3 linked regions of the Lonchura striata genome follow. The protein of the gene in region 2 interacts with the protein of the main gene of each other region in a pairwise test. Links are inferred from orthologs where the notes say so. Each region holds a gene or a part of one and is shown on either strand. Other genes may lie near its edges. The genes, in order: CYCS, SNCA and CSNK1D.

Region 1 (3,748 bases), on a different chromosome or scaffold from region 2:
CCCGTATCCCTTAATCTGAAACTTTCAATAACAATGAATTCTAGGTGAATGTTTCTGCTGAATTAAGAAGATTAAATAACTCTCAGCTTGGCCACTAGCACACGTATTCCCAGAAGAGGATGCTTTCTCTTACACTAAGAATGGCTGTTATCAGAAGATTTACTGAGCAAAGGGCATCAATAACACATCAAAACTGGAAATGTTTCTGAAGGGGAATTATATGGGTGCATGCAGCTGTCAAAGTCTGGATAAATTAGGTAACATGCTTCCCCTAGATAAAAGACAAGTGGCTGGGCACAACTGGCAGTTCACAAATAGTACTTAAATCAGATGAAATGCATTTTTATCACAAGCTTTAGATAGATTAATACATATTGCAACACCTAGCACTGATTAAATTTAGAAAAATATTATACTGGGATTGGGTTTTTTAATAGCCTTTGTTGTTAATGTAACAGAAGATGTATGGCAGAAGATGCCAAAAAGCACCCTGCTTTTTGATCTTCAGGAGTTGAGCTGTCAAAAGTTATTACACTGTTAATGATTACTCATTTGATTATTTACATATTTTTTAAAACAATGAAGAGGCAGGAAATGTTTATTTATTTTCTTTTAATCTTTATGATCAAGGATGACTGTACCCAATTACATAGTCTTTGTTAAGTTAATGGCTGCCAAACAAGTGTGTACTCCAGTGACCCACCGTGAGCAAAGTCATCTGATGGGTGAGACAGATTTTAAGGTTAGACACAGTACATGTAAAAATAGAAAGTTTAAAAACCAATCTCATCACAGACATTTCCATTGCCATCTCCTTTGTGAAATAAATAAGGCAGCAGATAACTTTTACTTTGCAGTGGCAACTTTGAGGTATGCTATTAAGTCTGCTCTCTCGCCCTTCTTCTTAATACCCGCAAAAATCATCTTTGTTCCAGGAATATACTTCTTTGGATTTTCCAAATACTCCATCAGAGTATCCTCACCCCAGGTGATACCTGAAAGAAGGTAAAAAGAGAAGAGTTAATAAATTCAAAATAGTAAACACATATATTCTTGTCCTCTGCTCAATTTTTGGCAAATTTTTAAAATTACCACCAAGAACTGAGTAATTTTGTCCCCTAAGGACAGCTTTAAGTTTACCTTTGTTCTTATTAGCATCCGTGTAAGAGAAACCTTCAGCTTGCCCAGTCTTGCGTCCGAATAGGCCATTCAAGTTGGGCCCAGTCTTATGCTTGCCTCCCTTTTCAACCGTGTGGCACTGGGAGCATTTCTGAACAAAGATCTTCTTGCCCTTCTCAACGTCTCCCATTGTCAGTACTAGACCAAGAACACACACAGAGGTCAGTATTGCAACCTCAAGGTCACCGACTGAGCTGAAACTTTTAAAAAGCATCCCGTAGGTTTACAAAACCAACATAAGCAGCACATGAATCTGGCAATTCTCCAGCACACTGTCTATCCTCAAGCCACAGCTCCTGGGCTTGAAAATCAGTATGAACCCACGAGACGACCTAAAAGGTATCAAGGTGATAAACACACTTGAAGGGCGGGAAAAACCTTCCCTCATACAAACTAATTGCCCCACAGCATTTAAAGGGTACGGCGACAATTTCTGAGGAACAAATTTAACGCAACTTGTACAACAGTAACTGGAATTCCCTAGTCGCGAACGACCACGTGTAAAAGCACAGGACACCTGACAGGCTTTTCCTCTCAGCTGAAAAAGCGCACCAGCCACGCACCCGGGAGGGCGGGAGGGCGCCCGGCTGTCACCACGGCCCGGGATGACCCCAGGGGTCCGGCCGGCAGCCACGCGTCAGCAGCGGGAGCGCCCAAGGGCGCCCGCCCCGCCTGGCCCCGGCTCTGCCCGCGCCCAGCCCGGCCCTGAGCTTTCCTCAGGCCCGCACCCGCGGTGGGCCGCCCGGCCCCACGGTGACCTTCCGCCGCACCCCGCCGCCGCCTCAGGCCGCGGCAGGAGGGAATGGCCTCAGGGCGGCCGAGCGCACGGCCCGCTCGCCCCATGTCCCCGCCAGCCGCCGCCACCCCGCGGGGCCCGGCCGCACCTGCCCGCCCGGCTGGCCCGCTGCGCCCTCAGACACCGTGACCGCGCCGCCGGCACCTCCCGCTCCGTCTGCGCCCAAGGACACGCGGACTCCGCCCTAAGTAACCCGGCACCGCCGCAACCAACCCCGCGGCGCACCGCCCGCCTCTCCGCCGCGACAACCAATCAGGCGCCGGCCGCTGGAGTTCTGATTGGCTGCAATCAGCTGACGTCACGGCGCCGGCGGCTAGTGGGGTAGGTTGAGACCGGCGGGCCCCCGCACTTCCTTCCTTCCTGCCCCTCTTCCCTCCAATCCCGGCCAGTGACGTCAGACGTCATCTGCGGCGGAGGGGGCGCGCAGCAGAGGGGCGCGAGTGCTGTGAGCGCATGCGCACAGCGCCAATGGAAGCAAGGGTCGCGCGGCGCCCTGAGCGCGCGGCCGGGCGGTGGGCGGGGCCCGAGCAGTGACGCAGCCGGAGCCGCGCCCGGGGCCGGCTCGGCCGGGGGCGGTCGGGCCGTGAGGGCGGCCGCAAAAGGCGCCGTGACGGAATTACAGCGTCGGTGCGGGCAGGAAACACCTCCGTCCTCGAGTCCGTTCTATGGAATGAACTCCGCCGTGTCCTTCAGACTATGGCACTGAGTGCCATGTCCACTCTTAAACACCTCCAAGGACAGCGGCTCCACTCCCTCCCTCCGCAGCCCACTCTAATGTCTAACCACCCTTTCTGGGAAGAAATTCTTCCTGATGCCCAGCCTGAACCTCCCCTGGTGCAGTTTATGACTGTATTCTCTCCTCCTGTCACTGGTTGCCTGGGAGAGGCCGACCCTCACCTGGCTACAGCTTCCTTTCAGGGAGTTGTAGAGCGGATAAGGTGTCCCCTGAATTTCCTTTTCTCCAGGCCAAACACCCACAGCTCATTTAGCTGCTCCTCACAGGGCATGTGCTCCAGACCCTTCACCAGCTTGTCCCTGAGTTTCAAAAGCTTTCCCAGAGGAGCCAAGGGAATAGTGGTGCGGAAGCGCTGCCGTAGCCGAAGTGAGGCGAAGTCGCCCCGGAGAGCGCGGCGGGGCGCTGCCGGCACGGCGCGGCCATGGGCTGAGGGCAGCGGCTGACCCTCCGGCCGTGCCGGCTGCGGCCGCGCCGCTCTGACACAGGCGAGAGCCCTGTGGAGGGGACTGCCGCCTGAAGGCATGAAAGCGTCCCAAATGCCAGCCCAGCAGTGTGGGAGTGCTCCAAGAGGACATGTCAATATTCACACATTGTGGCCTTCCAAGCAGAATTTTAATGGTGAATTCCAGACATGCCTGCCATCTCACCCTCCTCGGCAAGGAGGAAGAGCTGTTGGAAAAGCCCAGTGTAGTAATGTCCAGTGTTCAAAAGAGTTGAACTGTTTGCTTTACTATGGACATTAAAACTGTCAGAATTTTTCACTGTCTGACATTGGAAAAACATTTTATTTTCTGTGTGTGCTTTTATGTTGTCCTGGAACTGGTATGGGTGTGCCCCTCGAACTGCCCATGGGGCAGGGCTCATGTGAAGTGTTAACATGAAGCAGAAAGGAATGAGGACTGTAAAAATACATCAGGGGTTTCTCTGATGGCAGAATTTTTGTAGATAATTCACAAGACCATTCAGAAATCATCACTCCCTAGTTTAGACAGTGCATTGCCTTCCAAAGCTCACGGTGTCTAGAGCATAAGACACAG
Region 2 (3,748 bases):
CCTCCATTCTTTTATAGACTAGCTTTATTTGATGAATAAGAGAAACAGAGCCATAATTTTTTTTTATAAATAACCACTTACTCATATATAGTCTTGACAGATTGTTTTTCTGTTCATTTTTCATGACAGCATTTGCAAGACACTCTTCTAAAGCTCAGTGCTTGCTAAATGAAGATGACTACCCTGAATGAAAGTACCACTCAAGGGTTTGAAAATAATTTTATCCCAGGCTCTATGGAATACTAGTTTGGCCTAGAATAAGACACTAACAACTGCTTTGCTACTTTGGGGTCTACTTGCGCTACCTCATTAACTGTAGAGGCACTTCCTTGAGAAGTCATGGAAAATTTTTGCCATGAATTTGCAATAGCAATTACACAACATGAAATTAATTTCAAAAGATAGCACTTTGCCATACAAAATGTTACTGTCAACATACCAAGCAGTTGGCATGTCTACCACACAAGTCCTGAGCTAACCTCTCAAGTGTCTCCTCCTGAAATCCTGTTCAAGTCCCACATGCTCTGTAGAACATTACAGAGCTACCTTCACCTCCAGCTTTTACATTTTTTTCATATTTATTTTTGCTGTACCAACCACCCCTTCAGCCTTGATCTGGCAGACTTGCATGTAATACCACTCAATGACCTGTACTGTAAGGCACTTGGCTTCAAAGAACCAGAGCTCAAGAAGGCACAAATTTCCTCTTGTTTCTTTTGCAATGGTCTCCTATGAGCAATTAAATATTTTTTTGCAGAAGAAGGGGTCTGATGAGGATCCAGTTGTGAATGTTGGGGTGCACCAATCAGCAGCGTGCTCTCTGCTGCCCACCTACCCACATACAGGACTCCCTCTTTCGTCTTTCCTGCTGCCTCTGCCACACCCTGCTTGGTTTTTTCTGCTGCTGCTACGACTCCCTCCTTTGCCTTGGAAAGCCCTTTCATGAACACATCCATGGCTGAAGACTTTCTTCAAACAGCTCTAGAGAAAAAAAAAAAGAAAAAAAGTACACACTTTCAGTAAGGTTTTTTATCCCAGAAAGGGGAAAAATATTCTAACCAAATGGGATCACAATTACTTTTAAATTACATTATTTATACCACCCAAATTGTATAGCTATATGAAACAGATATCCCATTTCCACAGAATCCTATGGAGAGGTTACCAATAATGGAGTTCTGACTGGAAGATGGTTCCATTGAGATAAGTACCTTCCTTGCCTATGAAGTCATCATTTCTCCCAAAGGACAGTTCTGTTCATGTGCTGAATGCAAGATTTAGTCTTGTGATTTGATGACACTCCACCTCTCATCCAGAGAAAAAAGCCTACTTAAATAAACATCAGCAACTTAAAAACAAACAGACCAAACTGAAAACCAAAACACATAAATCAAAACCTCTCATAAATGACAAATGTTCACTTGTAAGAAAATGGCATTACAACTCAGGACTGGAGAAAATTAAAAATGCTGCATTTCCATTAGTCCAGCATTTTACACACAGTCCACATCAACCTTTTGGAAACTGAGTTTTCCTGAATGGGTTCCTTGCATGCATCACAACTGAGAAAATATTTTACTAAAAAGCAAAAGCAAGAACGCAGGATGTTAAAAGCACTGCACTAAAGCTACCAAGAGAGTCCTATCACAGCAATACAATCCAGTACTACACCGAAACCACTTAAATAGTAATTAAAACCCAGAATCACCGTCCCTCCAACAAATCCATTATCAGTCATCTTTTCTCTTCCTCCACCCACACAGACATGAGTGCTGCCTGTTATCTTCTCTTCTTTGCCAGAGGCTGAGTAGGAGGAATGCATGTCTAGGAAGGCATCTGAGGACGTCGCAGCTTTCCACTAACTCGTGACGACCGTGCGAAGGAAGGCAGCGTTTGTGCTCCAGCCAAGCTGCCCACGGTACCTGCCGCCCTGGGGATGGGGAAGGGGGGTGGGTGCCTTGCACAGAGCGCCGGGGGAGGCAGCACCGGCCCGCGGGACCCTCGGCTCCTCCACCGGCAAGGTGCCAAGGCCCGGCCCCGGGGCAGTGCCGCGACCAGGTGCGGGGGCACCGGGGGACCGCGGGTGTGCATCAAAGAGCATGGGCACCTGCAGAGGGAGGAGGGAGGAAGCAGGGCGTATGTGCGCATATATGTAGCTTATACATACACAAACATATAAATACATGCACGCGGCGAGGCACCTACCGAGGAAAGGAGAGCGGCGCGACCATATGGGCACCCTCGGGCTCCCGCGGACACGCCGTCGGCACACGGCGGACACGGCGCCCGGCTCCTCCTCCCTCCCCCGTGCCCACACGGGAACGTGCAACGGGACAGATCTATCCAGCTGTCTCTGGTATTAGATACACACCTATGGCTCCGTGCAGACGCGCCCCGCCCCGCCCGCACTCACCGCCGGGCTCCTCCGCCACCGGCGAGCGACCCGTTCCGACAGGCGGGGGCGGCGCGGCTGCGGGCGAGCGAGGCGCGGAGCGGCCCCTGCTCAGCACATCCCAAGGCTCGGAGCCCGCCCGCTCTGCTGGCACCACCCCGGCGGCAGCCCCGCAGGCGGCGAGAGGCGAGGGCGGGGGGCGGGAGGATGAGCCGCGGCGGGGAGGAGCAGCGGCTCTTGCTCCCTGTTGAGGATGCGCCCCCGGCCCGGCCCCCTGCGCCCGCCCTGTCACGTCCTGCGCGGCGGTGCGGTGGGAGGCGTGATAAACTGGGAGCACCTGTTTGCTGGCCTTCTGGAGAGAGAAGCAAGGGTTAAAAAGGTGGGTAGGGCGATTTGGTCCCCCTGGGACTCCGCACAGTCACCACTCCCTCCAAGGGCTGGAGAGCCTCATCTTAGAAGTGTAAGGAAGCTGTTGTTGCGGCACAGCCCCGAGTCACTTCACCAAAGCCTTACAAAATCTCCCCCAGCTTCTAATTCTTTTTCATCTACTTCCCAATCTTCAACCTTGTATGACTGCAGTTCAATGTCACTGTTCTCACAACATTCATGCTTCCAGTTCATTTTAAGCACGGGAGGTGGTGGTGCTCTTGCAGGTGTAATTCGAGTTTTAACTCTATTGCACACACAGAAGAGTATTCATCCCAAATGAAGAGAAGTACGGCCAGACTTGCCCAACCCTTACACCGTTGCTTGCATCTTCCTCCACACAATCCATGGCCACTGCCACCCAAATCTTAAACTCAGGCAGAAAAGTCACTTTCTCCCCAGAAAGGGAAACCTATCAAATTTCTCTATTTTGGTCACAGAATTTAAGCATGAAAAGCCAAGACCAGTAGGAGACAAGGCACTAGAACAGATGGACCTTCAGTTTCAGTACATCAATTCAAATCCTGCAAGACTTACAGAAACAGCTTGGGTTTTATTGCACTCCAAAAGGAGAAACAGAACATGGATGATACCAGGTTGTGAGCTGCAAGGAGTATCTTTCATCCATCATCCCGTGCAGACAGCTGATGCATCCCTGGTTCTCATGCTAAACATGTAGTGCAGGGTCTTGTTCTTGTCAGGTTTCTTTGTAAGTAATATTTCTGTATTGTTTGGTACACTTTATTTTGTTTCATTCTACTAGTAGTTTTAATCAACCAAGCATTAGGCAACAGATTTTATTTCTTTGTGTAACAGTGTTCAGACTGGTAATACACAGATGTATACAAATAAATAATTTTCTCATCATTCTGCCATCAAGAAAACCTTCAAAAAAGCCTAGAAATTGAATTACATAAGGTACCTCACCTC
Region 3 (3,748 bases), on a different chromosome or scaffold from region 2:
GACGCCCCTCCTCTCTACTCTGAAATGTCTTGTAGCTGCATTTGAGACAAAACCTGGGGACTGGAAGCAGGCAAAAATAGTCAAATCTTCATTTTCAAAGCATAAAACTGAGCTGGGAATGTATGCTGAAATAATCTACAAATTCACTGAGGCCTATCAGAAGGCACGTCTACTTAAAGTAAATACTGCCTTCTGAAATAACATTATAAATTATTTTAAGACACTTATGTCTACTGTACAGTCTGAACAGCAGAGCAGTAACTGGATTTTTTTTAAAACTCCACATTTCGTTATCACAAAAGCCAGTTTTCAAACATCTGTTCTACCAGATAATTGTAGGCAAAGCAAATGGGACTCTATAAAACGCTTCAGTTCTTGAAAGACAATAATTTCCCCTGAGAAAATAAAACCATGCCACCAGCTGGATCTTCCATTCACATACTTATATGCTAGCTCCATGCCTGAGCCATGCTTCCACGTAAATGGCATGACATTTGCAGTAAGCCTTGAGAGTAAATCCAGGACAATTGTTTAGAAATAAAAAAATGTAAAACTCACAGGATTTATTGCACAGAATTCAGTATGGCATTAATATATACACTAGCATACAGCAAACTATTACTTTCTGTGCACCTTCACTGGTGTAAGCTGCATTCATAGAGATAAAAGTGACACATAAACGTTTATTTCACTTGCACTTGATATTAATACTGTATTACAATCTGATTTACCTGAGCAGTAGTCAAAAGTTTAAATTATTCAAATTATCTAAGACTTTTCAGATTTTAACTGCTGTCTTAATTGCCCCCAAAATCCAAATGGAAGCTAACAAGAATTTTTGCACAAGCTTTATGACAATCTTCTATAGTCACATCTTCAATCTTCTATACATGCACTGCAGAAAGGAAGAATCACGTTCTCTGACTCTAGACAATCACATACCTTCAGTTAAAATAGCATATTTTTCATCAGGCATATGATATGTCTAATGGATAATGAGTATTTCATGATCTGTAAACAAGCAGCTTTAAGTAAAAAATTATTTTGGAATGGCAGCTGTGCACTGCAACACGTATAGAAAAACAACCCCCACATCTCATACTGCATGCACTGCCAAACGTACCACATAAGCCAGCAAGTGACATTATTTTTATCTTCCACAGTCAATGAACCTTAGCCCCTGCAACTTCCACCTTCCCCCACCCACCCTTCCCTGATTTGCTCTTCTAGGTTAACACAATTTTCAAAAGCAGAATACTCGTATCTACTGGATGAGACATAATGCTCATATTTCTTTGGATTGAACCCACTTCACATGGCTTGAGAGTTTGCCGAATATGTAGAGCATTTTAAAAATACCTGCTTTCAAAATCTGTTGCACCCACTACCTGAGCTTGTCATAAACAATAGCAGCAGTAGGCTATGTTAGAGAACTATAATAAGGGACTGGCAAAGAGAATTCCAATCCTGTACGTTTTACAATTGTAGAGCGATCACGGTTAGGTGATGGTCAGCAACAGGATTTGCCAAACTACGAGGATTATTTGAAGGATTTAAAGGTTTTTTACTGCAACCTAAACACTTGTATTTGTGTGATTTTTTTTAGGCCTCAAAGTAGAATAAACATTCTTCTGACAATTTTTCCTAGTTCACTGCAGCGATATTTAACCCTGGTACGTTTCTTCCCCAAAACGTTTTTCCAAATGCGGTGGGTTGTGGGGTTTTTAGGGTTTATATCATTTTGTTTTTTTCCCTTCCTTTCTTTCAGACGAGGCGATTTTTACCCTTATGCCCATTTTACAGACTCGAACGGTGCCCAAGGTCACTAGACAGCAACGAGAAGAGAAGCAGCCGAGTAAACCAGAATTCCTGATTTCCGCACTATCCAAATTAGGACATGATGTCAACGAAATATTAAATTACTGCTGCTGTGTCCCTAGCCCAGCTACTTGCCCGACCCGGCTAGGCCCTCGATGTTCTCCACACACCCAGAAAACGGCCAACTAAATCCCCTGCGAGCCATCCTCCTTACCCAAGTAGATATCCCCGAAAGAGCCGCTCCCGATCTTCCGGCCCAGCCGGTACCGGTTCCCAACTCTCAGCTCCATGGCGGCAGCTCGGGTCGTTCACGACACCGTTCTGTTGCTCTGCCCGGCCTGCTGGCTCTCGTTCTGATGCCTCACAGTCCTGCGGTTTCGGATGCCATCGCGGCTTTGGTCTCGCCGCTCGATACTAAGGAGACAGGCAAGACGGTCGCCGCAGCTCCCGAGCAAGATGGACACGGATTCCCGATGCGATCGGCCCCTCAGCCCCTGCGGCGCCCCGCCACCATCCCGCGTGACCTCACTTCCCTAGCGACGGGGGCGGGGCGCGCTGCCGCAGGGACGGCGCGCGCCGGGCGGGGCGTGGCTGCCGTCCGGCGCTGGTGCCCCGTCTCACCGCGCCGTCCCTGCCACCTGCCGGGCCGCGAATGAGGTCGGCAGTCTTCTCGGTGTGTGTGGCGTCGTCGTCCCCGCGGTGGAGATGAGCTCCGGCAGCACTGCGTTCCGAGGAGCGCCCCTTTGATCGTGAAGGCGGAAGGGCGAGGAGGGGGAGAGTGGTGCAGGGACAAAGTCTGAGAAGTGACCCCGCAAATTTCAGGGGAAAACCATGTCATTTTTGCTGGGGAGGAGTGTTGGGATCTCCTCTGTCTCTCCGGGTGAGGAAGAATGTCTAATAAGTGTCGTGCTAAGCAGAGCACCGCAGGGCCTGTATGTATAACCATGTAGTGTGTGCACATGTGAAGCTGTGTATTTGTGAAGCCTCATACTGTAAAAGTTGTAAGACATTGATGTCTTAGGTGGCTGACAGCTGAGTCTCTGGAAGTACAGAGTAAGGGATGGAGAGGGAGAGACAAAGACACATCTGAACTGTCAAATTCCCCCAGCAGCTGTAAGTGGGAGCTGTGGTGAGTCCTGGACCCATTAGTCCATGTTGCCCCTCTTCTGCATCCCATCCCTACCACCCTTCTCCTGCTGATGTATTTTTTTCTGCTTTCCTGCACCTCTCCCTCTCCTGTTTTCCAGGCTCTTGTCTTTTTCTCATATTCTATCTCTCTGTTTTCTTTTGCTTTCTGGACTTCTGTCCTCTTCCCTACTTCTCTTGTCTTCATCTTCTATCTCAATCCATTGATATTTTTGTCTTTTTCCATTTATCTGTCTTCCAATTTTTTAGAATTCTACCCATATACCCTCTTGGCCTTTGTGATGTCCCCCCCAACTTTTATTTCCTCTCTCTCTCTCATATTCTAAGTACACTTTTTCTTTCTTGGATGCTCTCATTCCAGGTCCCTGCCCTAATGTTTAATTTCTTCCCTCTCTGTCCCTCAGCCCATTTTTCCCTTGGCTATTCTCTGTTGTCCTTTCCCTTTGCCTTCTTAACTGGCAAAATAAGGCTATTAAATTTGGATTCATATTTGTTCAACAGGCCTTATTTTATAAATTTATCTTTTATAAATCTAATATTTCTTTTCTTTTATAAATCTTTTATAAATATATCCAAGGGATAATAACCCCTTACAACTTTATTTTCTCAAAGGGTATTGCTTTTGCCTTACTGGTCCTGTCAGGGTTTCAATTTGTTTCTTACAGCCTCTGCATTTCTGGGTCACTGGGGCACCTCCTCTCCAGTCCAGACTACCAGATTTACTGCATCCTCAAGTGATACAAATGGCAGATGGATCACATCTGACTTTGAAGATTGTAGTGCA

The links.
Region 1: the proteins of SNCA (region 2) and CYCS interact in binary tests that used the Homo sapiens proteins (3 or more experiments, as listed by UniProt). The link is inferred for Lonchura striata from reciprocal best matches to the Homo sapiens genes SNCA and CYCS.
Region 3: the proteins of SNCA (region 2) and CSNK1D interact in binary tests that used the Homo sapiens proteins (3 or more experiments, as listed by UniProt). The link is inferred for Lonchura striata from reciprocal best matches to the Homo sapiens genes SNCA and CSNK1D.

Annotation. Positions count from the first base shown.
Region 1 is NC_134603.1:124,391,048-124,394,795, reverse strand, and holds the start of CYCS (cytochrome c), read right to left. Parts: upstream 2,199-3,748; 5' UTR 2,064-2,198; intron 1,318-2,063; 5' UTR 1,310-1,317; coding exon 1,141-1,309; intron 996-1,140; coding exon 847-995; 3' UTR 1-846. UniProt on the Homo sapiens protein: Electron carrier protein. The oxidized form of the cytochrome c heme group can accept an electron from the heme group of the cytochrome c1 subunit of cytochrome reductase.
Region 2 is NC_134606.1:53,442,065-53,445,812, reverse strand, and holds the start of SNCA (alpha-synuclein), read right to left. Parts: upstream 2,579-3,748; 5' UTR 2,372-2,578; intron 2,331-2,371; exon of another isoform or gene 2,206-2,330; intron 1,915-2,205; exon of another isoform or gene 1,760-1,914; intron 1,330-1,759; exon of another isoform or gene 1,212-1,329; intron 982-1,211; 5' UTR 957-981; coding exon 836-956; intron 1-835. UniProt on the Homo sapiens protein: Neuronal protein that plays several roles in synaptic activity such as regulation of synaptic vesicle trafficking and subsequent neurotransmitter release.
Region 3 is NC_134621.1:12,203,528-12,207,275, forward strand, and holds the start of CSNK1D (casein kinase I), read right to left. Parts: upstream 2,361-3,748; 5' UTR 2,109-2,360; coding exon 2,033-2,108; intron 1-2,032. UniProt on the Homo sapiens protein: Essential serine/threonine-protein kinase that regulates diverse cellular growth and survival processes including Wnt signaling, DNA repair and circadian rhythms. It can phosphorylate a large number of proteins.